Linked DNA regions of Ovis aries. The protein of the gene in region 5 interacts with the protein of the main gene of each other region in a biochemical or structural test. Links are inferred from orthologs where the notes say so. Each region holds a gene or a part of one and is shown on either strand. Other genes may lie near its edges. The genes, in order: HNF4A, RARA, ESRRG, HDAC3, NR0B2, SMARCA2 and ESR1.

The links.
Region 1: the proteins of NR0B2 (region 5) and HNF4A form a complex in vitro, tested with the Homo sapiens proteins (4 studies listed by BioGRID). The link is inferred for Ovis aries from reciprocal best matches to the Homo sapiens genes NR0B2 and HNF4A.
Region 2: the proteins of NR0B2 (region 5) and RARA form a complex in vitro, tested with the Homo sapiens proteins (2 studies listed by BioGRID). The link is inferred for Ovis aries from reciprocal best matches to the Homo sapiens genes NR0B2 and RARA.
Region 3: the proteins of NR0B2 (region 5) and ESRRG form a complex in vitro, tested with the Homo sapiens proteins (2 studies listed by BioGRID). The link is inferred for Ovis aries from reciprocal best matches to the Homo sapiens genes NR0B2 and ESRRG.
Region 4: the proteins of NR0B2 (region 5) and HDAC3 form a complex in vitro, tested with the Homo sapiens proteins (2 studies listed by BioGRID). The link is inferred for Ovis aries from reciprocal best matches to the Homo sapiens genes NR0B2 and HDAC3.
Region 6: the proteins of NR0B2 (region 5) and SMARCA2 form a complex in vitro, tested with the Homo sapiens proteins (2 studies listed by BioGRID). The link is inferred for Ovis aries from reciprocal best matches to the Homo sapiens genes NR0B2 and SMARCA2.
Region 7: the proteins of NR0B2 (region 5) and ESR1 form a complex in vitro, tested with the Homo sapiens proteins (2 studies listed by BioGRID). The link is inferred for Ovis aries from reciprocal best matches to the Homo sapiens genes NR0B2 and ESR1.

The regions. Positions count from the first base shown.
Region 1 is NC_056066.1:72,799,991-72,803,490, reverse strand, and holds part of HNF4A (hepatocyte nuclear factor 4-alpha), read right to left. Parts: intron 3,143-3,500; coding exon 2,906-3,142; coding exon of another isoform or gene 2,877-2,905; intron 2,581-2,876; coding exon of another isoform or gene 2,200-2,580; exon of another isoform or gene 1-2,199. UniProt on the Homo sapiens protein: Transcriptional regulator which controls the expression of hepatic genes during the transition of endodermal cells to hepatic progenitor cells, facilitating the recruitment of RNA pol II to the promoters of target genes. Activates the transcription of CYP2C38.
Region 2 is NC_056064.1:40,344,003-40,346,832, reverse strand, and holds the end of RARA (retinoic acid receptor alpha), read right to left. Parts: intron 2,806-2,830; coding exon 2,647-2,805; intron 2,075-2,646; coding exon 1,857-2,074; 3' UTR 501-1,856; downstream 1-500. UniProt on the Homo sapiens protein: Receptor for retinoic acid. Retinoic acid receptors bind as heterodimers to their target response elements in response to their ligands, all-trans or 9-cis retinoic acid, and regulate gene expression in various biological processes.
Region 3 is NC_056065.1:19,381,047-19,385,211, forward strand, and holds the start of ESRRG (estrogen-related receptor gamma), read right to left. Parts: upstream 2,801-4,165; 5' UTR 2,647-2,800; coding exon 2,591-2,646; intron 2,506-2,590; exon of another isoform or gene 1-2,505. UniProt on the Homo sapiens protein: Orphan receptor that acts as a transcription activator in the absence of bound ligand. Binds specifically to an estrogen response element and activates reporter genes controlled by estrogen response elements.
Region 4 is NC_056058.1:50,376,670-50,380,169, forward strand, and holds part of HDAC3 (histone deacetylase 3), read right to left. Parts: intron 2,364-3,500; coding exon 2,274-2,363; intron 2,148-2,273; coding exon 2,089-2,147; intron 1,824-2,088; coding exon 1,744-1,823; intron 1,438-1,743; coding exon 1,280-1,437; intron 1-1,279. UniProt on the Homo sapiens protein: Histone deacetylase that catalyzes the deacetylation of lysine residues on the N-terminal part of the core histones (H2A, H2B, H3 and H4), and some other non-histone substrates.
Region 5 is NC_056055.1:240,027,852-240,031,605, reverse strand, and holds NR0B2 (nuclear receptor subfamily 0 group B member 2), read right to left. Parts: upstream 2,626-3,754; 5' UTR 2,589-2,625; coding exon 2,048-2,588; intron 1,090-2,047; coding exon 848-1,089; 3' UTR 501-847; downstream 1-500. UniProt on the Homo sapiens protein: Transcriptional regulator that acts as a negative regulator of receptor-dependent signaling pathways. Specifically inhibits transactivation of the nuclear receptor with which it interacts.
Region 6 is NC_056055.1:70,296,004-70,299,503, reverse strand, and holds part of SMARCA2 (probable global transcription activator SNF2L2), read right to left. Parts: intron 350-3,500; coding exon 1-349. UniProt on the Homo sapiens protein: ATPase involved in transcriptional activation and repression of select genes by chromatin remodeling (alteration of DNA-nucleosome topology).
Region 7 is NC_056061.1:76,487,730-76,491,729, forward strand, and holds the start of ESR1 (estrogen receptor), read left to right. Parts: upstream 1-1,200; 5' UTR 1,201-1,299; intron 1,300-4,000.

The DNA.
Region 1 (3,500 bases), on a different chromosome or scaffold from region 5:
GGCTCCTCTGGCCATGGGATTCTCCAGGCAAGAATATTTGAGTGGGTTGCTATTTCCTTCTCTGGGGTTCTTCCTGACTCAGGGATCAAACCTGCATCTCCTGAGGCTCCTGCACTGGCAGGTGGATTCTTTACCACTGAGCCACCTGGGAAGTGCAAATAAGTCCATACACCACAACTAGAAAGCCTAAATGCCAGAACAAAAGATCCCACAAGATGCAACGGAAGTCCTGCATACTGCAACTAAGACCCGATGCGGCCAAACAGATAAATAGAGAAAAAGATTTAAAAGTACACCTGTTTCAATGATAGCTATCAACATACTATGTGCCAGGTACTGTGTTCCCGCATTTTCCAGGTTTGACATAATTTAACCTTCACAACAGCCCTAAAGGCCAGGTATCATTATTAACCTCATTCTACAGATGAGATGACAAGGCCCAAAGAGATGAATTATTTTACCCAAAGTTTATCTGGCAATAGGACACAGGCTCCTTGCTGATCCTAGCCTCAGGACATCTGACTCACGGTGACCCTGCATTCACAGGGTCAAAGTGAGAAAGAAGTGAGTTACCATGTGACAGTGGTTCTCAGCTAGGGGTGATTTTGGCCCCTCGGGGGACCTTTGACAATATCTGAGTATCTGTCACCACTGAAGGAGTGTTACTGGCGTATCACGGGTAGAGGCCAGTCATGTGCCCAAAGAAGACACAGAAGAGCCCCCTCAGCAAAGAATGACTCAGACCCAAGAATCCACTGAGGTTGAGAGACCTTGCCCTTGGCCATCACCAGTGATCACGTCACCTCCAAAGTCTCACGTTCAAGCATCTTTATGTAGACCCTGCCTCCTATCCTTCCGGCTGGCTTCCTCTAGCACCATCACTGCAAACATTCTTCAGCCCCGTTGAGGCTGTCATTTCACTGGCCCCCACTCTTCACTGACTGCCACCTGTCTTCATCCGTCTTAGTCCAGCCGAGATTCCACGGCACATCATCACAATCACTCCCCTGCGATCAGCCTTGGCTCCCTCCCAGCTCCCTTCTGAGCAAAACGTTTTCCAAAGGCAGTTGACTCTTGCTGTCTCCACTTCTCCACTTTCCAGCTCACTCCGTCTGCAACACCTCCCCTGCTTTCCTTTCCCACTGACACTGCTCTCAACACAATCGCCGAGAGCCCCCTTCCCTCTCCTGTGGAGTTTAACACCATTAAATGCTCTGTCCCCACTAAAGCACACTCTGCTCTTGGCTTCTGGGACTTCCCTTGGCTTTTCTCTTATCCTCCTGGCTAGGCTTTCCTCCATTTCCTTCTCTGGCACCTGGTTTCTGGGACACCACTAAGCTGACTCTTATCCCCAACTTTGGGCTTGTTTGAGCAACAAATATTATCTGCCTCCTGGATAACTCAACGTGACTATTCAACAATCATTTCACACTTCACTAAATTCTACAATGGATCTTTACCCCCTACCCCCACCCTCAGTCTCAAATTAGTTTTTTCCCCCCAGTCCTCCCCATCTCAATAAATTACTCCACCACCATTCCTGTTCCTCAAATCAAACATGTAGGTTTCATCCTTGACTCTTACCCTTCCCCTTATTGCCCCTGTCTGATCAATCAGCAACTTCTGTGAGTTCTTCCTCCAAATAGATGTTCAAGTGCATCTGTGTTGATCAATTTCCAGTCATGCCTTGGTCCAAGCCTCCCTGTCCTTCCCCTCATTGAAGACAGTGACATTTCTCAGGGGTTTCCGGTCTCCATTTTCCCTCTGATGTTCAGTTTCTACCCACCATTGGGATAGTTTGTTGAAAACATTAGTCTGATTTTCCACTTTTCTTTTAAGAGTTGCAATGAGAATACAATGCAAATCTCTAACCATAGCCTCTAAGACTATATTTATGATTTGGTTTCTTCCCAATCTCTGTCTTCATTTCATACAGTTCCTCTTGCCTCACAAACTTATCTTTCTCCAACACACAAACCTCTGCTGCTTTGGGGCCTTTTGCACTCGTTACTTGTGCTAGGAGTGTTTCTTGTTTGGCTTTTAAATGTTCTCTTTCCTTCCATCAGATCTGTGGCATAAAAGCCACCACTTTCGAGAGGTCTTCCTTGACCAACCTATCTAAAGAGGCCCCCTTTCAGTTATACTCTATTGTATTACTTGGTTATTTCAAAATTTGTAGTTGCCCTCTTTATTATATACTCAATTATCATCTGTTACCCCAAGTGTTAATATACACTGGCATGCATGCATACACACGCACACGCATGCACACACACGCACACACACGCACACGCATGCACACACACACTCATATATACACTCATACACAACCTCCAGGAAAACTGACTCTTGTTCTCTGCTGAACCTCCAGCACTTAGAACAGCGACTGGAACATGGTAACTTCTCAGCACCTGAATTAACAGGCCATTGTCCCCATTTTCCTGATGAGTAAACTGAGACTCTGGTAGATAAAAGGATTTGGCCAAAGCTACAGAACAAAGAAGTCATGGAGCTGAGCAGAGAGCTCAGGTCTGCATGAGGCTGGTCTCTTTGAGAGGCTACCTCTCCCAGCCTGGCCCACTGGCTCAGATGGTAAAGACTCCTCCTGCAGTACAGGAGGCCTGGGTTCGATCCTTGGGTTGGGAAGATCACCTGGAGAAGGGCATGGCAACCCACTCCAGTATTCTTGCCTAGAGACTCCCATGGACAGAGGAGCCTAGTGGGCGACAGTACGTGGGGTTGCAAAGAGTCAGACATGATAGAGCAATGAACACTTTCACTTTTTCACAGAGTGAGGAAGTGATGGAGCTGAGAGGTGAACGCAGCTCTGCATGAGTGAGGCTGGTCTCGGAGAAGCGGCCTCCAGCCCCGCCCACCTCCCGGCCCTCCCGGGCTGGACACCAACCTCCCAGCAGCATCTCCTGCAGCAGGTTGTCGATCTTGGCCATGCCGAAGAGCTTGATAAACTGGATCTGCTCAATCATCTGCCAGGTGATGCTCTGCAGGGTGGGCAGCAGCAGCAGCAGCTCGCCGAAGCGGCCACGCGAGTCGTACTGGCGGTCGTTGATGTAGTCTTCCAGGCTCACCTGCACCTGGGAACGCAGCCTCTTGATCTTGCCTGGGTCACTCAGCCCCTTGGCATCTGCAATGGGAGGGGTCATGCCAGGAAGGCAGAGGGCCAACCTGGAGCGCCTGGGGAGATGGGGCCCAATGTCCCGTTACTCCGGGGGCTCTTGCTGGGAGGCCTAGTGGCCTGAGGGCACCTAGAGAATCCTAGCAGTGCTGGGGCAAGACTTCAGGAACACTCCCAAGAGGGCACCTTGTAACCTTCTCATCGTACAGATGGGGAAACCAAGGCACACAAAAAGGAGAGGACTTGGCCCAGACCACAGAACCACTTGTTGGCAGATCCATGATGTGGAATTAGGGCTCCTGACTCCCAGGTAAGGCCCCACTGGCAGTCCAGTGGTCAAGACTCCATCTTTCAGTGCAGGGGATGC
Region 2 (2,830 bases), on a different chromosome or scaffold from region 5:
GTTAGGGGTGAGACAGGGACAGTTCTTCCTGGAGGTGGAAGAACAAGTGGGCCGGCCTCCCAGGTTCCATCCCAATCCTAAGGTCTTCTTAGATTGCAATGAGCAAGCCCCTGACTCAAGCCCCCCGGGCCAACTGCCACTCTTGCTGTGAAGGTCATCGGCGGCCACTAAAGATAGAACTCTGCCACTAAATGACTCTGACTCAAGCTCCAGCTTCCCAAGGGCTAGGGACTCTCAGAGAGCTGAGGTGGCTTTCTCTCTCGGGCTGGGGACTCCCTGAAGGCTGAGGCGGTCTCTCTCTCTCTCCCTCCTGCCTCTCTACATGGGTCCCTGACAGGCTGAGACCCCTAGACCAAGGGCTTCCTAAGGGCAGGCCTGTCTCCTTCCAGCGTTTCCAGAGCTCTGAGCACAGCAAGGCAGGTCCCGAAGGCAGCTTGGGCCCCAGTCCCTGCCCGGACACCGAAAGAAGGCGGCGAGGCAGCGAGGCTCTGAGGCATGTGTAGAATAAATATAACTTTATTCTTTATCCAGTAGATCTCAGTGGCAAGTCCAACAGTAACAGGTGCACCAGCGGGCTCTGGGGGGGATGAGACCCCCAACCCCGGGGCAAGGAGGGCAGGGCAGAGCCAGTTCCCCCAGCCCCGGGGGAGCAGGGGTGAAGTGAGGGGACCCCCTATAGGCCCGTCCTGCGGGGCAAGGAGGGGGCACGGGTGTGGGGTGGGGGGGCAGGTCAGGGAAATGGAGGAACTCAGGCTCCGTGTCTGTCGGCCTGTCTGTCCACTGTGTGTGTGTGCATGTGTGTGTGTGTGTGTGTGTGTGTCTGGGGGCCCTGTGGGCGGTGCTGGTGGCCATGAGGCTGGAGGGCAGGGGAGCTTGGACCCCCTGGCCAGCCCCTTCACGGGGAGGGGAGCGCTGGAGGGCTTCGGTGACGTGGGCTCTGATGGGGAAGCAGCTACGCTGAGGACACAGGGCAGAGAGACACATGCCTGGAGGTCCTGAGGCCCCGGTGCTCTGCCCCAGCCCCATCTCGGGGGTGAGCCACTCCTTCCAGGGGTTGCTGGGAAACTGTCCTTGCCCAGTGGTTAGGCAGAGAGAGAGGAGAGGGCAGGCCTTGGAAAGTTAGTACTTCACAGTTTTAAAGAGAAAACTGAGGAGGAAATGGCTGGGGAGGGGGCCTTGGGGGGCACAGGGACTTGGAGAGAGAGGGGAAGCCCCTTTCAAGCCACTCCCCTCCCCCAGGGCCCACCCCCCCCTCCAGCTCTGAATCCAGCTCCCCCCAATACACAGCACACTTCAGTATAAATGTGCTTAAAATGAAAATTCTTATTTAAAAAAATCAAAACCAGAAAAAAAAATTAAAATAAAAACAAAACCAGCGAGAATTAATACCTGGGGGTTGGTATGGCAAAGTATGTACAGGGGATTCCCCCACCCCTGGCCCACCCCCTCTGTCACCAACCGAGGCAGGGGGGGTTCCCCAACCGGGGGGCAATGGCTTGAGAGTTCTGAGGATGGGGGAGCCAGGTCCTGGCATTTGCTGGTGATGAAGATGTGGCGAGGTGGGCAGAAGGGTGTCTTGATGAACACGAAGCCCCCAGGCCCCATCCCAAGGCCTGGGACCAGGGGTCCTCACTCAGTCCACGGCCACGCCCCTGACGTCAGCCCAAGCTCCAGGAGCGGGCAGTCCAACGCAGGCCCGGGTCTCTGTCTGAAGAGTTGCCGCCACCTCCTCCCTCCAGTCCCCCGGGCAAGGGAGGACAGGTGGGGCGCAGGGCTGGCGGGGGTTGCATGGTTGGTAGAAAGGCAGAGAAAAGCCAGGGCACGGGGTGAGGGCTGTGTCCACCGGGCAAGGGCAGTCACGGGGAGTGGGTGGCCGGGCTGCTTCTGTTTGAGCTGGGGCTGAGGCTGGGGCTACAGCTGCCGGGCGGGGCAGCCAGGCCGCCCCCATCCCGCCCCCCACTCCCCGCTTGTCCGCTCAGAGTGTCCAGGCCTTCTGAGTTCTCCAGCATTTCCTGGATGAGAGGTGGCATGGAGCCCGGAATCTCCATCTTCAGCGTGATCACCCGCTCAGCCCCTGCAGGAGAGAACAGGTCAGTGGGCCCACCCTGCTCCTCTAGCCCTGCACGCAAGCCTGGCCCCAGGAGGGAGCATGCAAGGGGTAGGAGGATCCACAGTACCAGTATCAGCTCCCGCCACACACCGAACCCTGCACTCAGTTTTCTGACCTAAGCCAGCTCTCCTCAGCCCCGACAGCTGAAGGGCAGCAGGGCAAAGTAGCTCCCAACTCTGGCTCTGGGGTCACTGGGCTTGATGCCAGGCCCTTCCTACGTGCTGCTGACTCTCCTACTGACATCTCAAGACAACTCCGTAAATGTTATCCCTGCTCTGCAGATGAGTAACTGAGGCTCAGAGCCGTCGTGTGACCCGCTCAAGGACACACAATGGTCTGGTTCCAGAGCCATGCCCTAAACTAGCATGCCAAGATGACACTGCCACCTTGGGGCTCACAGGCAGGGAGGTCACCTGGGCACGGTGGGGTCCAGGTGAGTGGGGCATCACATGGGCACAAAGATGTGGGGTACTGGCTCAGATGCAGGAGGCCTGACTCTGGACATGGATGGCAGACACACAGGGAGAGAGCCTCACCCTTAGCACTGATGCTCCGGAGGTCTGTGATCTTCATCAGCATCTTGGGGAACATGTGTGGGCGGCTGGGCCTCCGTTTCCGCACATAGACCTTCAGTGCCTCAAGCAGCGGCTCCTGCAGCATGTCCACCCTGTCTGGCTGCTCCAGGTCCTGCCGGTCTGAAGAAGCAGAGAAGCCCGCTCA
Region 3 (4,165 bases), on a different chromosome or scaffold from region 5:
AGAGGAAACCTTACAAAATAAAACTTGCATAGCTCCAAACAGGAATTTTAAAAAAACAAACACAAATCTGCTTAATTTTTGAGGTCTGGATTTTCATGATCAGGTCTGGATTTTCATGATCAGGCTGAAATTCAAATACTAAACTGTTCCCTCCTAGCCTTGCCTGTTTTGGAGTGTTTCAATTGCCTTTCCTTCTTCCAACAGCTGTGACAACTGCTAAAACAGTCAGTAAAATTAAGTCCGCTCTATAATCCTGTAGTCAATGTTACATTTTAATCAGAGGTTGAAAGAGAACCGTGATGAGCACACTCATTTAGAATGATTAGACTGACACATATGTCAAAATGAGCAGATATATTATTTTCATCTATTTATGCTATCAGTTATTACTGCTATTAAATGTGAAACAAGCTTTCAAGTATTATGCTCTTTAATGCACTGGCACATTTCCCAAAATTAAAAAAAAAACAACATAGTTATAGGTTAACATTTTAGGCTCTCCTAATGGTGGTCAATAAATTGAAGGAATCTTTTCAACAGCCTCCACAGCAGAAATTGTCCAATATTCTCCTCTGAAACTGCATAACTCTGGTTTCATTTCTGTGTATACACACACGTGATGGGGTTTAACCCAGCACAATTACTATGAATATTAATAGCATGTATAAATTCTGTGGTTTATTAATTGAGACAGAGAGGCAGATGCGTTACTAAGCATTAGATCTTTCTGTCTGTCCAGTGAACCACGTAACCATCAGAGCTGCATCCAAACAATAAATCTGTATTTTTTAAAGATGACTTTTAATTGAGCCAAAAAGGAAAGCTAGTTTGAATCTTGCGCCAAAGCCAAAAGGACATGTGTCCTGATTTCATTTAAATACATCTGCTTTAAGAGGCTTATCGAAACTAATTATTCAAATTAGCTATAAGAAGTTAAATTCAAGGAAACTATTTTACAAAGAAGGCTAGGGGAAGAAGGCAGATTTTTAAAGTTTGTTTTGTTTATTTATTTATGAGAGAAAGTTCTGAATTGGGTGAGCTTGGATAATGCATTCTTCCTGACATGAAGGTGTATTAAATTCTCCAGTGCTACAGCCTCAGGTGTACTAACCTTCAAACTCCACTTGAGTGGGCAGTCCTACCTTTGTTTATTTCTCATTTTTATTTTCACACAATTTAAGGTTTCTTCCTTGGAGCATTTGCAACTGACGCAAGCACTGCCTTCCAATCTTTCGGTTCTTCCTAAGTCCATCCCTGGGCTAACATCCCTGGTGTGAGTGTGTATGCGTGCAAGCACATCTACAGACAGGCATACACACACACACTCAAACATATGAGGAGCCACTGAGACTGCAAGTCACTTTTCATCTCTTGCTTAATTACAAAGCAAGGCAATATGCAGTCACTAAGGACCGCTAGTGGACATCTACCTATAATGCATGACCTCCTCCTCTCGAGGGTTTTATGTTTTCTTCACAATCTAGGGAGAACTGTTTGCCAAGAGCACTCTTTTCAGAATTATAACAGTTGGTATTACTGTAATGGGAAAGCAAAGCCATATAACTGACTCAACAGAAAGAGGAACCAGTGACAGTTACTGTGATAAACTAGTATTTTATCTTAACAGTGGGTTGAAATTAAGTTTACGACCTACTCATTTTTACCCAAGAATGCCTGATTTACTCCTTTTACCCCCTACTCACTTCCCCCCGACCCTGAGCAATACAAATATGTATATTTCCATGGGCATAAAGATATTCATAAATATGAATGAAACTGCATCTAAGGACAAAAGTACTTTTCTGCATTTTCTGGACATGATACACGAAACAAATCCACAATCTCAGCATCGTCTGTTCAAGGAGAAATTTAAAAAGTCACTACTGTTTCTTCTTTAGTTTAGTTTTTTTTTTTTCTCCCTTTAAATATTTATAGCGTGTGAAAAATCTCATGTTACTTAATGGACTGATTTGTCAGTTAAGTGCTGACTTAATGCTAACCATGCAAATAACATTATTCTAGCCCCGGCTTGCATAGGGCTAGTTTTTAAATTGTTCTCTGAAGGAGAATTAGTAAATGTGCAATTTTGCCTCTAACTCTGAGCGGTAAGAAATGACGGGGAGCTGAAAATATCTGTCAAGCTGCAAATACATAAGAGGCACTCAATAGTATAAATCATTTTGAATATTGTATTTTAAAACATCTTTCCTTGGGAAAATGGGTCCTAGTAAAAGATGCATTTTAACAGTTCACTAAGCATTTGTGCCAAGTGCCTATTCTTAGCACCTGAATAAGAAGTGACTGTCACACAGCTGTTTTACTGACAGTCACTGAGCTTTGCCTCAAAGGTAACATTGTAGTCAGAGAACAATTCTCGACTTCCTGAATTAGGAGATCACCCTCAACACAAAAGGCACAAGACAGACACAAACAAGCACTCGTGCACACGAAATACCCAGGACATTACCTGATTCAGTGCGCCAAGATCCATTCCGTCCACCCCCCAAACCACCCCCCCCCCGCCCCGCCATACACACAAACACGCGCACCCCCACGACGAGTTTTAAAAAGGAAAGAAAAAGGTACCTACTCTTCCTCGTAGTGCAGGGAAAAAGATTCAGGAAGGCAAAGTTCTACCGAATCCATGTGCGACCGGCAACCATTATTTGTGTACCCCCGCTATAAATCAAAGTTTCCTTGACAGAGCACAGTGCAATTAACACAAATGTTCTCCTAGTGACAAGCCTATAGGCACAGCCAGTTGGGACCAGAGCTCTCACACTCTCCTAATCAAGGACTTAAAGCCCCGATTGGAGCTTATTAATATGAAGTAGAGCTTAACATATGCAGTCCCACCGGCCCAGGCGCGCAGCCGATTGGGGGGCGGCTGCCCAATCAGGAGGGAGGCGACGGGAGGCTGCGAGGAGCCGCGGAACCAGGCAGGTACGAAGGGTGCAGAGACGCGACCCGGCTAGAAACTGAGCGCGAGAGAAAAGGGAGCGGGGACCAGAGATCCGGACGCTCCGGGCAGATACTGCGCCAGGCCCGCGCTTGCTTGCTCTTTCTTTTTCTCTCTTCTCTCCTCCCGTGGGAAGCTAGAAAAGAAACCTAACTAATTTAACCCTCCAAGCCCCGGAGGGATCTGTCTTGGGTTTCTCACCCAAGATCTCTTTTTGCCTTGCCCAGAAGAACTCACGCAGACTCTCAGAGTTAATTTGGGAAAGGATTCTGCGGAAGGTAGAGAATGAAGTTTGTCCTGCCGTTGTCTGTGTTTGATTCCACCGGGGAGGGGGCTCCTGCTTATTGAGTGCTGTACTTTCTCATTGATCCGTCATCGTGTTGTCGTCTGTTTCTCTGATCTAGACTGGGCATTTAAAAAAAAAAAAATCCAAGATATGACTTCTAAATTGTTCGAGCATGCGAAGTGGGAATCGTCCTCTGAGGTGGATTGCAGTTTTACATCACTACAGAAGAGGAGAGTGCCTCAATGCAATTTTCGAAAATGCCTATGTAAATTCTATATGTAAATATTTCTTTACCTGCTCCCCCTCTCTCTACCTATAGATATACAATGTATAGCTTTTCAAAACAAAGATAAAACAACTGCGGGACAAATTGGCTCCTCCAGTTTCAGGAGTAGGAGACAGGGCTGCTGGGTAGCTAGTGCATTGAAAACGTCTCAGTGCATTTTGACAAAATAAAGACTGCATTTTTTTTTTTTTCCCTGTAGGGAAAGCAGTGCTAACCAGCGCACTGAAAGTGTTCTTAGTCATACATTTATTTCAATACAAGCTTCCAAACTGGGAAACATATACAAACACATATGATTTTTACCCCAAACATCAGCTTTCAAATAAAATGTAGTTTATGTATTTGTCAATTATACATAACACACCCTGAATGCTTTAAAAAATCAACTCAGAAACATTTCGTAAATCATCACACAGTTTGGTCATTATAAGCATGAGTTTCAAACAGAAGTGCTTTTTAAAGACAGAATATAAGAAGAGAAGGTTGTTTTTTCTCTAATAGTGTATAAGCCTGATTTTAGTTTCCATATAACAAAGAGTTTGCTTAAGTCCTATTTTTAAATACGGGATCTTTTTATACTAGCAAATGTACATGGTAATAGCTACCAGCTATTTATGGCAAAGAGATAACTGCT
Region 4 (3,500 bases), on a different chromosome or scaffold from region 5:
AAAAAAAAAACAAAACTGCACAACACTGAAAATGAGTGTATGTGTGCCCTTGTGTTTATACATAAATATTGAACAGCACAATTGTAATCTACAGAAACTGGAACATGGACTTAGAACTGGACACGGAACATGAAACTTAGAACTGGACATGGAACAACAGACTGGTTCCAACTCAGGAAAGGAGTACATCAAGGCTGTATATTGTTACCCTGCTTATTTTACTTATCTGCAGAGTACATCGTGAGAAACACTGGGCTGGATGAAGCACAAGCTGGAATCAAGATTGCCAGGAGAAGAATCAATAACTTCAGACATGCAGATGACTCCACCCTGATGGCAGAAAGTGAAGAAGAACTAAAGAGCCTCTTGATGAAAGTGAAAGAGGAGAGTGAAAAAGTTGGCTTAAAGCTCAACATTCAGAAAACGAAGATCATGGCATCCAGGCCCATCACTTCATGGCAAATACATGGGGAAACAGTGGAAACAATGACAGACTTTTTTTGAGGGGGCTCCAAAATCACTTCAGATGGTGACTGTAGCCATGAAATTAAAAGACGCTTACTCCTTGGAAGAAAAGTTATGACCAACATAGACAGCATATTAAAAAGCAGAAACATTATTTTGTCAACAAAGGTCCGTCTAGTCAAGGCTACGGTTTTTCCAGTAGTCATGTATGGATGTGAGAGTTGGACTATAAAGAAAGCTGAGTGCAGAAGAATTGATACTTTTGAACTGTGGTGTTGGAGAAGAGTCTTGAGAGTCCCTTGGACTGCAAGGAGATCCAACCAGTCCATCCTAAAGGAAATCAGTCCTGAATATTCATTGGAAGGACTGATGTTGAAGCTGAAACTCCAATACTTTGGCCAACTGATGTGAAGAGCTGACTCATTCGAAAAGACCCTGATGCTGGGAAGGACTGAAGGCTAGAGGAGAAGGGGATGACAGAGGATGAGATGGTTGGATGGCATCACCGACTCAATGGACATGAGTTTGAGTAAACTCCGGGAGTTGGTGATGGACAGGGAGGCCTGGTGTGCTGCAGTCCATAGGGTCACAAAGAGTCAGACACAACTGAGCGACTGAACTGAACTGAAAAGTTTTACAATAAATGTATGTCACTTACATCATTAAATCGGGGGGAAAAAAAAGTATGGGATGGTTGTATACTGAAGAAGGTACACTGAGGACAATTAGACTAATGCTGTCTAACTTACTTTTTCCCTCTTAACTTCCCCCAAAACTTGCTGGAATTCCCTGCTCTTATGACCCTGCTCCAGACCTGCTGTAGTTTTCCTCAGGACCCCTCTCCTCCGCATCAGCCTCATCAGTCCTATCGTAGGTTAGGAGGTCTGCCGGCACATCGTGAATCTGGACGCTAGGTGCATGATTCAGCATCTTCAGGTTTTCAAAGATTGTCTGGCGGATCTGGTCCAGATACTGGTTGGGGATGAGGAATAGACAATGAGCAGCTCCCAGTGACTCCCAGGATGTCAATGCTTGTAGCTGCCTTTTGTCCCTGCAGTCCTAGTTTCAGTCCCATTTTGCATCTTAGTTTGAATCCCCCAGCTGGTAACTGTCCCTCCTCCCAACCCTGACTGCCTGTGCTTTCACCGGGGCTGCCTCCTAGCTGATAACAGAGATAGTGATGGCTGAGACTCTCTTCCCTGGTTTCTCTGATTTCCCACATCCTGGACCTTTCCTGGGCTCCTCCACCCTTGTGCTCAGCTTCTCCAAGCTGCTGACCTGGCGTGAATTCTGATTCTCGATGCGGGTGCTGACATCCGGATGGAGCGTGAAGTCCGGGGCAAAGTACTCGAAGTATTCTTGGGGAAAAAGGAGGAGACATGATGGCTCAAATAGACACAGGCAGGTCCCAAGAGTTGCCTATCTTTTTCCTTTCCATCCAAAACCCCTACATAACATCTGCTCAACCTTTTCCCCTCTCTAGGCCCAGGGGTTTAGTTTGCAGAACTCTGATAAAGTCAAACTTCCCATCCACTTTCAAACCAGGCCATTCTATGGTCTTGTGAGAATGGCCTTCTTGCTGTGGGGGCATGGTCCCCCTTGCATGTGTGGGATGGTCCTTACCGCTATAGGGAAGCTCTTCACTAATGGCCTCTTCTACCAGCAGTGATGTCTCATATGTCCTGAAACAAACCAGCAGAGCAAGGCAGGCTGAGTGAGTGGGGTGAAAGGTCCACTGGCCATCTCTCAGGGAGAGCCCCTAGCTCACACTGTACAAGGGAGAGGAGGAAAAATGGGGGCATGCTCACCAGCAGCGGGCAACATTCCGGACAGTGTAGCCACCACCACCTAGCACCAGTAGAGGGATATTGAAGCTCTTGACATATTCAACACATTCCCTGTTAAAAGAAACCAGAGGAATGGGTGGAGGAAGTTACCAAAAGCCAGAGAACACACTTCTAGAGGCCAACTGGAAAGAGGCACAAGGAAACTAGAAATGTTCTGTATCTTGACCTTGGTAGTGAAAATCATTGAGTTATATCTCTGAGATATGTGCACTTTATTGCCGGCACGTTGCGTCTCAGTGAAATTTAAAACAAAGTGCACTCTCACCTCTGTCCTGCTTAGCACCCACCCTAGCAACCCACCTGTTAATCAACTAGTCTCACCAATGTACCAGCAAGTGCTGTCAGTTTAGCCACCAAAATATAACTCACATCACCTACCTCTCTCTACCGCCACCTCCTCCAACTTAGCCTCCTATCTGAGACAACACCAAGAGCTCCCTAACTAGTCTTCCCACTTCCACTCCTGTGTGCCCAGCCCCACCCCAAACCTTTCTCCATTCAGCCCTCAGAGCAGTTGGTTTTTTTTCGGCGGTGCCACAAGGCATGTGAGATCTTACTTCCCCAACCAGGGACCAAGCCCATGCCTCCTGCAGAGGAAGTGCAGAGTCCTAACCACTGAACTGACAGGGAAGTCTTGAGCAGTCACTTTAAAATTCAAGCCCAGAAAAAATAAAATAAAATAAAATAAAATAAAATAAAATTCAAGCTGGATCATGTCACTTCCCTGCTTAAAACCTGTCAACAGTTTCCCAACACATCTGAAATATAATTCAGACTCCTTAGCAAGGTCTAAAGGCTCTGCATGACCCGAATGCTGCCGACTTCTCAGACATCACCTCAAACCACCTCCAGCCTGCTCTCTGTGTTCCACCTGACTGGTTTTACTTCATCTCCTCCACGATACCCCTCTGCCCTGTCTCAGCGTGTCTGCATGCACTCTTCTCACCGCTTGGGATGGACCTCTCTCTGTTCTTCTTATGGCTCACTCCTTTTAGGCTTCAGGTCTCAGCTCAGAATTTTGGAAAATTCTTTCCAAATCATGGTATCTAAAGTAGTTTCTCCACTGTTATCCCATATCTTAGCTTTCTATCTTTTTCTTCCATAGAATTTATAACAATCTACCTATCTTGTTTGCTTACTTATAGTTTTGCCTGTTTCCTAGGCTGAACTGTAAACTCCATGGGAGTT
Region 5 (3,754 bases):
TGGCCTGCAGCACGCCAGGTCTCCTGTCCATCACCAACTCCTGGAGTTTATTCAAACTCATGTCCATTGGGTCGGTGATGCCACAGGGGAAGTGAATGATCCCACACGACAGAGATTCCCGGAAACTTTCAATTTGGAAATGGGCTGCTTCATTTTCCTTATTGGTGACTCTCAGTGAGGTGAGAGGGAGGCTGGGGCAGAAGCAGAGGGAGGGATCAGCAGGGGATTTGAGGAACAGGGAGGGATACTCCTACCCCTTGATATAAGGGCAAGGATGTGTGGGGTCCTGAACTGATACTAACTCCTGGATCAGATCCATGTAAAATAAATCTCACTGCCAGAAATGAAATCAGCATCCCACCCTGAAAAATCAAAACTCCAGTTTCCTGAGTTCTGGCTTGTGTGTCACTTGTAGCTCCTTCCTCTTGGGCTCCTCTGGCGGGCCGGGGGACTCTGGAGATGAACCAGTCCCTTCCACGTGTACAAACTACACTGTCAGGTTCCAAGGGTGTCACACCTTTTATTACAAAAGCCAATAACTTAAGTCAGTTCCGTACAAAGTCAGTAGAACTCCTGGCCCAACAGCGGACACTTCTACCCTGCCCCAGGAGGGGAGAGGAGTCTTGGCCCAGAGGCTCTGGAACCACCAAGGGCTGGCCAGACAGCTGGAGCACTGTGTCCAAACTGAGGAGGGTCAAGGTGGGATGTGGCTGAGTGAGGGCCCACCTGATTGGGCTGGAGCCAGCTGCTCTGGGGAAGCCTCTGGGAGCACTGGGTCACCCAGGGGACAGCCCGGCCAAATCAGCGCTGCCAGCCTCCACCCAGGCCCTGCTTGGGCTGGAGCAGGTCAGCTCAGCAGAAGCATGTCTTCAAGGAGGTCCGCGATGTCAACGTCTCCAATGACGGGGCGAAGGAAGAGATCTCCAAGCAGGCTGGGTGGAATGGACTTGAGGGTGGAGGCCATGAGGAGGACACGCGCCAGGCGGCTTTGGCCTGCTGGGCACCAGGGCTCCAGGACCTCCCACAGTGCCTGGTGCGCCTCCTGCTGCAGGTGCCCGATGTGGGAGGAGGCGTAGAGACCTGGCACTTCTGCGGACAGAGAAGGCAAAGATGGCTGCTGAGTGGCCTACTCCAATACCACAGGGCAAGACTGGCCCAAGACCCAAGGCCACCAGCTTGGCGCCTTTGAGTCCCCATCACTACCTCCTTCATTTATTTATTTTTCACTTCATTTATCCATCCTTCATGGAGACGCAGGATAGAGCCATGGGTAAGACCCTGGGGGGCCTGGCTTTTAATCCCACACTGTCACTTATTAGCTGTGTGCCCTTGGGGAAATTTACTCAATCTCTGTGCCTTGGGTTCCTCGTTGATAAAACTGGGACAAATAATAGTACCCATCTCCTAGGCTTGTTATGAGGTTTAAATGAGCTAGTGTATATAAAACCTTTAGAACTCGACCTAACATACAGTAAATGTAATGCGAGTGTTTGCTATTACTATAATGAATTACTCTGATCATGCATTCCTTGGGGGCATTTTGATGATTTCTCATCTAAGCGCCTTTCAGATCACAAAGAAGTCTTCCTCTATTTGTTGTCCTGGCTGAAATTTACGAAGACTCCTCCCTCTTCCCCCTCCCCACCCCCATTTTCATTTCTCTTCTCTACGTGGTCTTTCTGAAACCGCAGTTTCATCTTCAGAACTTCTCCATGCAGTCTGCTCATGAAGGCGTGACCGAGGCATAGTCTGCCCACCCTCCCCTCCCCTTCTGCCCTAAGGGTCAGGGAAATTTCTTAGCAGAGCAGTAAGGACTAGATTTTGACATCAGTAGACCTGAGTCCCCATTCTTTCTCTTCCCCCACCTGGCTATGTGACTTTTCGCAAGTCGCTTTGCCTCTCTGAGCTTGTTTTGCAAGATGGCTATTTGGAGATAATCAGGACCCAGAGGGATTTCAGTTGTTAAGTCCTTAGAATGCGTCTTTCCCTGGCTGAGCCCTGCCCCCCTCCAGCCTTGGCCCTCATCCAGGAGTGTCTGGGATCTCACCAGGGTTGAAGAGGACAGTCCCTTTCAGGTAGGCATACTCCTTGGGGCCCAGCTCCAGACTCCAGAAGGACTCCAGGCAGCACTGTAGCCACTGCACCTCAGCTAGCGAGGGCTGGGGCCGATCGGGCCGCTGGCTGCTGCCTGCCCCGCTGCTGGGCTTCTCCAGCAGGATCTTCTTGAGTATGCTAGGCATCGGGACCTCGGCCACCTGGAAGGTCACAGTGTCTTGGGCCAACCCCAGCAGGAAGAGGGGCCCCCAGCAGCCCCGCAGCAGCTGCCGCCGATCCTGGGAGGGCAGCTGGCAGAAAGACGGCAGGTTCCTGAGGAAGGCCAGCGTCTTGGCCAGAACATCCAAGGCCTCCTGGCAGGTGCGATGGGGCGTACACAGCTGAACAGGCCGGTGCTGCCTGCACAGGCAGCGGCCGCGGGCTGGGGCCACGGAGGGCCAGTCCCTGACGCTGGGGCTCAGAAGTGTATACAGAATGGTCGGGCGGCCTGCAGCACCCTGGCACGGGCAGGACCCTGGCTGGCTGGAGCTCATGGTCGAGGATCTGCTTTGCCTTCCTGCTGGCTCTCCCACCCTCGGCTTGGTGCTGTGGGTGCTATTTATATCCCCAAATGGGGGAGGGAGGGGGGAACCGCCCAACAACCTTGACTCCAAAAGTCATGTTCATTGAAAAAAAAAAAAAGAAACTCACACTGACCCTGGCAGGACCCAGGGGGAAGTGGTGGGGGAGGGAGACTTGGGAGCTCCACGTGGCCCCGATATCACTTCAGTCAATGAAGCAGCGGGTGCAGGGCACAGGGCCGCCTGCCCGCTGGCCCCGCTGCCCTTTATCAGATGATTCAAGTGGATAAACAGGGTCATTAACCCAGGCTGTACCAGGGCACCAAGGCCTCAGGTGCACAATCAGCAGGTGGCCGTGGCAGGTGTCCCCATTGGTGCCTGCAGGACTCGCGCTCAGCAGGGGAGCCAGCCCCAGAGCCGACGAGCCTTGAACGCAGGGCCCAACCTGGAAGCGCCTTATCACTTGCTTGTTTGCCTAACCTTGAGGCCCTGCTCCTGTTGTTAGTAAGGAACAGGCTGCAGGGAAGGGAGCCAGGATCCTGGGGGTGCTGGGAGGACTTTGCCTGGCTGTGCAGTCTGGAGGAAGGCCCCCTTCCTCTAACCCCAAGTTCTGGGTGGCGGAGAGGCCTGCAAAAATAAGGTCCTTAAGAACTCTCTCTCCCCAGCCTGGACCTCTTGAAGGGCCCTTGTCTGCTGAGAAGCCCTGGCAGAATGATGATGAAATACTACTGTTTATTGAGCACCTACTATGCGCCAGGCACTTTCCACTCTAATATTCAGAGCTTCCTTCTGAGGCAAAATGCTTGCTTTTTGAGACTCAAAGAAGTCAAGTGACTTGTCCAAGTTCACATCACTAAAAAGAGACAGAGCCTAGATCAGTCTGACTCCAAAATCCTTGCTTGTACCCCTGGACCCACTGGCCCAGTTGTGCAGCCAGAGCTGGTGACGACCTGGGCCCCCACCTCACTGTTGTAGACGTTGCCCACTTACGATCTGGACAGAAACGTTGCTCGGCCGCCAGCTGCATGGCTCCTCTGTCCCCAGGCAGCTGTCTCGGATGCTGGGGCCTGGGCAGTGAATGCTGGTGGCAAGGTCCTTGGCTATGTCAGGTTTGTGGACCTTGGCAAGGCCAGCTTGGC
Region 6 (3,500 bases), about 170 Mb from region 5:
TGCGGCTGTGGCTGCTGCGGCTGAGGCTGGGGCTGGGGCTGTGGCGGCGGCTGTTGCTGCATGCCAGGCAACGTCCTTTTCCCCTGGACTGCAAGCTGCAGTGTTTCAGGGAGGGGCTGGCCCCGGGCCAGCATCTTGTAAGCTAAAATCTGGGCTCGGAGCTGATGCAGCTGGACGGGACTGAAAGGAGAGGGACCCCTGTTGGGCTGGTTCATTGCCTGAGGGTCGCCTGGGATGAGGGGTCCTGGCTGGCTCGGTGGCATCTGTGGTGGGGTCGGGCCGCCTCCTGATATAGGGCTGGACACGTGCTCTGGGGCTCCCAGCGGAGATGGGTGCGGCGACATGTAACCTGGAATAAAACACAAAGGGAGAGGTCACAGGCTGCCCCCCATGACCCTGAAAGAGAAACATTCCTGGAGATCCTGACGATTTTCCACAACAGCATTGACTGAGAGAAATTTAAAGCACATGTAACTTAATGGGATTATATATAATTTAAAATTTATGTATATCAAATATATATATACATATAAAATTAAAAGAAACAGACAAAATTGTAATAATATATAATTTAAACCAACATACCCCTAATATTATCATTTCAAAGAATAAAAATTATTAGAGATTTTACATTTTTGTTTCCATATTAAGTTACTGTACATCTCCAATGGGACTAGTCACATTTCAAGCAGTGGATAGCCCGATGTGTCCTAGAGGCTTCCCTGATAGCTTAGCTGGTAAAGAATCTGCCTGCAAAGTAGGAGACCCTGGTTCAATTGCTAGGTCAGGAAGATCTGCTAGAGAAGGGATAGGCTACCCACTCCAGTATTCTTGGGCTTCCCTTGTGTCTCAGCTGGTAAAGAATCCGCCTGCAATGCGGGAGACCTGGGTTGGGAAGATACCCTGGGGAACGGAAAGGCTACCCAATCCAGTATTCTGGCCTGAAGAATTTCATGGACTGTATAGTCCATGGGGTCGCAGAGAGTCAGACACGACTGAGCGACTTTCACTTTCACTTTCACGTGTCCTAGATGGTGACACGACCTAGTAGTGGCTGTTGTACACCTAGAGGAAGGGCACAGGGGACAGTATTATACATTAAAAGGAGCTCCAACCTAGAGACCAGAACTTGAAGCTCTCTGCTGTACTGCAGTGCAGAATGAGGACTCTCTTACGGGGATATTATTTGGTTTATTATTATGCACTTTATGAGTAATTTGCCATTATTGAGGGCCTCCATGGTTGTAGGCACTAAGCAAGGCACTGTACATGCTATTTTAGCCAAGTTTACCCTGGAATCAGAGCCTGATGGAAAGACTGAGTGCAGCTGATTTATCTGAAAGGTGCAGGGATACTGACAAGAGTGTGGAAAGGTAAAATAAGGGAAGGAAGCCAACAAGGAGTGTATGGTTAAGTCAGTTGCTGTAGTGCATGCCTGAAGATTAATCTCATGCTGTGTGTGTGTGTGTGTGTCTGTGTGTCTGTGTGTGTGTGTCTGTGTGTGTGTCTGTGTGTGTAAGGTGGATGCCGGTAAATCAAAATCAAGATGGTGGTCTGGCCAGTAGATATAAGGATGATGGGAGCACAGAAATGGTAAGAAGAGTTAGAGGATACATTTTTTTTTCTATAGTCCTCACAACACTCCCAGAAGATACGTGCTGTCGCCTCATTTTTTAAAATGAGAGTAAGCACATTACACCATGTCACACAATTAGATCTTGGTAACCAAGATTCACCTGATTCCAAGGCATATGTTCTTTCCATGGTCTAATATTAATTTTGTTGTAGTAATATAAAAATAAGTTAAAGGCTTGAAAGCTTCCAAAATCTTCTAGAAGCATTTATGTGCTGCAAGCTAAGTCTCCTCAGGTGTGTCCAACTCTTTGTGACCCTGTGGACTGTAGCCCGTCAGGCTCCTCTGTCCATGGGATTCCCCAGGCAAGAATACTGGAGTGGGTTGCCATGTCCTCCTCCAGGGGATCTTCCCAACCCAGGGATCAAATCTATGCCTCTTACGTCTTCTGCACTGGCAGATGGGTTCTTTACCACTAAGGCCACCTGGGAAGCCCAGAACCATTTACAATGTAATATAAAAATGAAAGTAATCTGTTTGGGTGATAAAGAGACTTAAATGGAAAACTTAAGAATACTTAAGAAAGAAAAGTCAAAATGCAATAAAATTTTCAAGAAACTTATTTCAAGAGATGAACTGTGGAGTCTGGCCAAAGAATCCCTAGAAAAATATAGGACTGCACATTGCTGAAGGGAGATCCAAGAGGAAGGAGAGGACAGAGTGGTTTGCTGTACCCCAAAACATTGTCTTCCATTCAAATTGAGGGCTAACTCATCAACTCAAAGGCATTCTAAGACACAATGTAAAACATTAAATTAAAGGTCTTTGCCATTAATAAATCCACCTGCATCACAATTATTTTAAAGGTCATCACATAGGTGTTTATTAGGCATCTGCCGTGTGTTTCAACACTTAATCAAGTTTGAGCTGAAGCTGCACTCTGTGTCTATGTGGAATTACAGAGGCTCACGAATATCTGACCCACGCTGCCTGGGGACTCAACATCATCATTTGAAAGACTAGAGAAAATAAAGGATACAGTTCCTTTTATCTCAAATTGCCATTTGGAGAGGGAAACAAATTTAGCCTGATCCCCTAAGACAAGAGTAGGTTTTGTTCTATCAATTGGTGAGATGTAGAACTCCATTCTGAGTAATCCTGCCCTGAAGAGAAATGGAAAAGCTGCTCACTCTCATTTCCGAAATCCCTACTCTGTAATCGAGCACAAAAATCATGAAGGCATTAGGGTTCTAGTTGATCACAGAAGTTAGCCTAAGAAAATGCCCCTGCAATCAGCCCGCTCATCTGCAAGATGAGCAGAAATTCAAATCCCAGGATGTTATTTATAACAATAAACATTTTTAAGTATCAATAACATATACTTAACTTCATCATTAACGGTTTTCCTTCTTAACGAGGTTAAAATTCACCTCCAAATTGTAATGCTGGTGCAAAATGGTAGTTTGTTCATTATGAAAGTACCTCCCTAACACCTTTCTGCCAACTTTGCATCTATCACTGGAGGAAAAACTTCCTACTATAGCTACTGACATTTCATGGGAGAAGGGATACAACCAGGTGTTAAAATGGGTCACGTCTCCTGCCTTCTGGACTGTCCTCTTTCCTAAGGTCGTCACCAATTATAGCTTACCCGTGATAAATCACACGATGCCTAATACAACTGACCAAAACATTAGACAATCTAATCTAAATGTAATTGTGTAACACACTTCATCAAATCGCTCTTTTCAACTATGTCTCCTGGCATGGCAAAATTATAAGGATGAGACACTTAGTTGTACTAAGTACAATAATTCGTTTTACCTCAAAGTTGCTAAGAAAGAAACTAAGAGTGAAATAAAAATCATTTTCCAGAATTAATCAATACAACAAAATCTTCCCTCAAATGTGGTAAGAAAAAAACTAG
Region 7 (4,000 bases), on a different chromosome or scaffold from region 5:
GCTCTATGTGGAAATTAATCTCAGACAATTTGCATATTCAAATTACTTTACAGGCTAACTCGCAAGTGTAGAGAAGATGGAAGGCAATCCTGTGTGTGCATGTGTGTGTATTCAGTCATGTCTGATTTTTTTGTGACCCCATGGATAGTAGCCCACCAGACTCCTCTGTCCATGGGATTTACCAGGTAAGAATACTGGAATGGGTTTCCATATCCCTCTCCAGGGGATCTTCCTGATCCAGGGATCAAACTCCTGCATTGGCAGGCAGATTCTTTACCACTGAACCACATGAGGATGACCATTAAGAGCCTTTATTTTCAAAATGTTTTCAAGCATGGGCTATGAGGATTTTGATTTTCTTTCCTAAGCTGATTTTGAGATGCATGGGTTGCCCTACAGATGTCAACATGCACTTGGGGATTCTAGAAGGCCTAGGAACAAGACAGACCTCTCTTACCTGTCCTCCACCATCCTCACTTGCAGAAAACCAGCCTCCTTCAGATTTGAGTAGAAAAAGCTAACGTGCTTTTAAAAGATCCTTTAAAATACATATTACGTGGGCAAATGAAAAAGTAAACATCCCTCAAACTCTTAAATGGCTGGACGAAAAGCCAGATGGGCCATGGGACGATCAGATGGCAGAGGAACGGCTTCAGAGGCAGAGAGAAGTTAACCTCAGCAGGACACTGAAGTCAAGAACCTAACTGATCAGGGACCAGCAGTGCAAAGCTGTCAAGCCAATGTTGAATGAGAAAGTTACCAAAATGCTCACTGAACATGCATCCTTATTCCTGCTCTGAGCTGTAACAAAATTTATGTGCCCAGTGAATGTTTGATTATTATTTTTCCAACCCCAAATGCCTGTCTAGACTTTAACCTTTATTAGTAGTGAAGAGAAAGTGAGCTGGTATTCATAAAAAAAGAAAAAATATTCAGGCAGATTAACAGATGACTTATACCCTTGTGAAATGTCTGTCTTGACCCAAGTGGTAGGACAGTGAGAATCAGGCCTGGTGTGGAGAAAGAAAGGCCACCCCCTCCTCTATTTTGTACAGAAGACTTTTCCACTCCTAGTCAAATGGTGGTGCTAGTTCTTTAGTTTTGAGTTTTCTGCATTTCCTAATTTCATGGTCATAACAGCCGCTTGTCTACTGCCTCAGAACGGATTTCACCAAAACTGAAAATAAAGGCTCCATGCTCAGAAGTTCCTTAACGGACTCGAAAGGTTAATGTTCCTTTCCCTTGCCCTTCTATAGCGTAAGAAGACAGTCTTTCAGTGACATTCTCCTCCTCAAGCAGGTACTCCTATTTCTTCTTCTCAGCATATATGTATATATATACTTTTTTCTTTTTGTTATATGTGCTACTATTTACAAATGTGATGTAACTTTACAGCTTCCCTCTCCTGTGAAAAGATGTTCATTTTTCTCTTAATGCTCCAGGGATATTTTGCAAAGTTGCTGGCAAGCATTAGTATGACGTTGAAATGTTAAGTCTAAACTTGGTACAGTGAAAAATCCACTTTTCAAATAATATTCAGCTGAGTCAGAGGGCAACCCGACTACCCTTTGCTTAGCACTGCACTGACAGGCTGTCTGCTTGCTCCAGATAACGCCTATTTATTTGATCCAGCTCTAGCTAGGAGGTTTTGGATTATTGAAATGTGGCAGAATTTCAAGAATTATTAATTGGACTGATCACGGGCTAGCATGAACACACTACCTGTTTTCATCATCTCTGGGTGCCGTAACTTCTGTGAGTTGAAACTGAGCAATCTGAATAAGCCATTACTTGTTTCCTGAAGGCAGTCAAGTTTTCTGAAAAGCTACGCCATCTAGCAGTCCAAAAGTCAGCCACCCTGTCTTTAAATTGCCCTGTGATTTCAGGGCAAGTTCTCTTGGGTCTTTCTGCCTCAGTTTGCTCTCCTGTGGAAGAAAGCTCCTGGACACTTTTTACAGGGGGTTGGTGTGTACATAAGTGTCTCCCCGCACCGCAGAGTGCTACTTAAATAATGATGTGGCAGTCACAAAAGACAGGGCAGCGTACTTTCATTTTGGTTAGAGGCATGCCACAGGGTTCAGGAAATGCGCAGTACGTTCTAAGTTCTGTGCTGTGCTAAGAGGGTAACCAGTCTTCGCTCTCTCAGACATGCCCATAGTAGCCAACATAATCAAAAAAAAAAAAAAAATCTTAACGTAAGGATTGAGCTTTATCAGGACTTGGGATCATGGCACTGATTTCTGTTCAAAGAAGCCAGATTTTTTATTGGCTTTCTGGGCCAGATATAACAGACTTGCAAAGTAACTCCATGCACAAGATTGCTGGGAAACTCACCTGGTTTTGAATATTATACACACACACACACACACACACACACACACATATATGTTTGTTTATCTCACTTCTATGATGTATATATGGTGTATATATTAATGTTGAAAGTGAATTTATGAATATGAGGTTGCAGTGTTTGAATTTTATCTTAAAATACCCCGAGAGACGAAATGAAATTAGATGAATACTTATGAGATGTAGGCTTCAGAACCTGTTTCTACTCTATATAAGCCTTTCCTATTTCTCCAAAGCAAATGTTTGCTCCAATTTTGTTAACATCCTATGAAGATTGCCCACTAGGATTTAATGCACGTGACTATACTATTCTAGTGGTTAGATATAACACTGTACAGGGTATTAGGTTTCAAATAAATTGGGAATAAAAATAACATAATCCTTAGAGACAACAACATGGAGGGAAAAAAAGCAAAAATTTTGAATATGAATGTAAGTGCCTTATTTCCTAGCTGGATATTTTTTCTTAGACTCTTGGAGATATTTGTTTTGTTTTATGGCAATGACAGTTGAGGAAAGGGATTAAAGCTTATGTTCTCAAAATTGCAGCAAGAACGAAGTCAAACAGTTATCTTTCATTTCAATTAACTCTGTATCTTTCATTCAGCTTAGGATTTAGAGTTATCGAATCTCTTCCTTTCTGCTAACACCCACTCTCAACCTCTATACGATGTAAATATTTGCACTGCAGTTCTGCTAAACATTCTCATCTGGTTTTCTGTGGCTTCTCTCAGTATTTGTCCATATTCATTTAGTCCGGTTGATCAGTACAACCGCCAAGACTCAGGGCCTGGTGCCTAGGGTTTAGTTTGCCCAAAACAGAGAACAGAACTTGTTCATGGTTGCAGGTTGTACAAAGATTAGTAGGCAAGAATAGAGTGACCCCCAGCTCTGAGTAAATTATCGATATTGGTTGTAAAATATTCATAGCTTAAGTTTCCCTCATAGCGGTTGAGAAATGGTCCTGCCCATTCATGTCCATCATGGCTGTGTCTGTCCTTAATCCCACTGTTGCGCTCCCTGCACAGAGTGTAATCCACTGCTAGTTTTAGAGCAAGGTACTTGTATGTGTTAGTTGCTCAATCGTATCCGACACTTTGTGACCCCATGGACTGTAGCCCGCCAGGCTCCTCTGTCCATGGGATTCTCCAGGCAAGAATATTGGAGTGGATTGCCATACCCTTCTCCAGAGGATCTTCCCAATGCAGGGACTGAACCCTGGTCTCCTGCACTGTAGGAAGATTCTTTACCATTTGAGCTATAGGGAAGTCTTAGCAGGTGGCTTTTGATGAAGGTGATGGTGAGGAAGGTGATCTTGCCTTCTAGGCACCAATTCAGTTGACTCCCTCTGGTTTATTTCCACTGGACCCTGACAAAACCTTGCACATCAGTGAGTTTATGATTCTTTCTAAGGAGTGTAAATTTTTTTTCTTTCTCACTCTGAGACAGAGTCAGGATGCCGAGGCTTGCGTTATCCCTGTGTGCATGCTAAGTTGCTTCAGTTGTGTCCAACTCTATGAGACTCTATGGACTGTGGCCCACCAGGCTCCTCTGTCCATGGGATTCTCCAGGCAAGAATATTTGAGTAGGTTGCCATGCCTTTCCTCAGGGATCTTCCTGGCTCAGGGATTGAACCCGCATCTCTTAATAT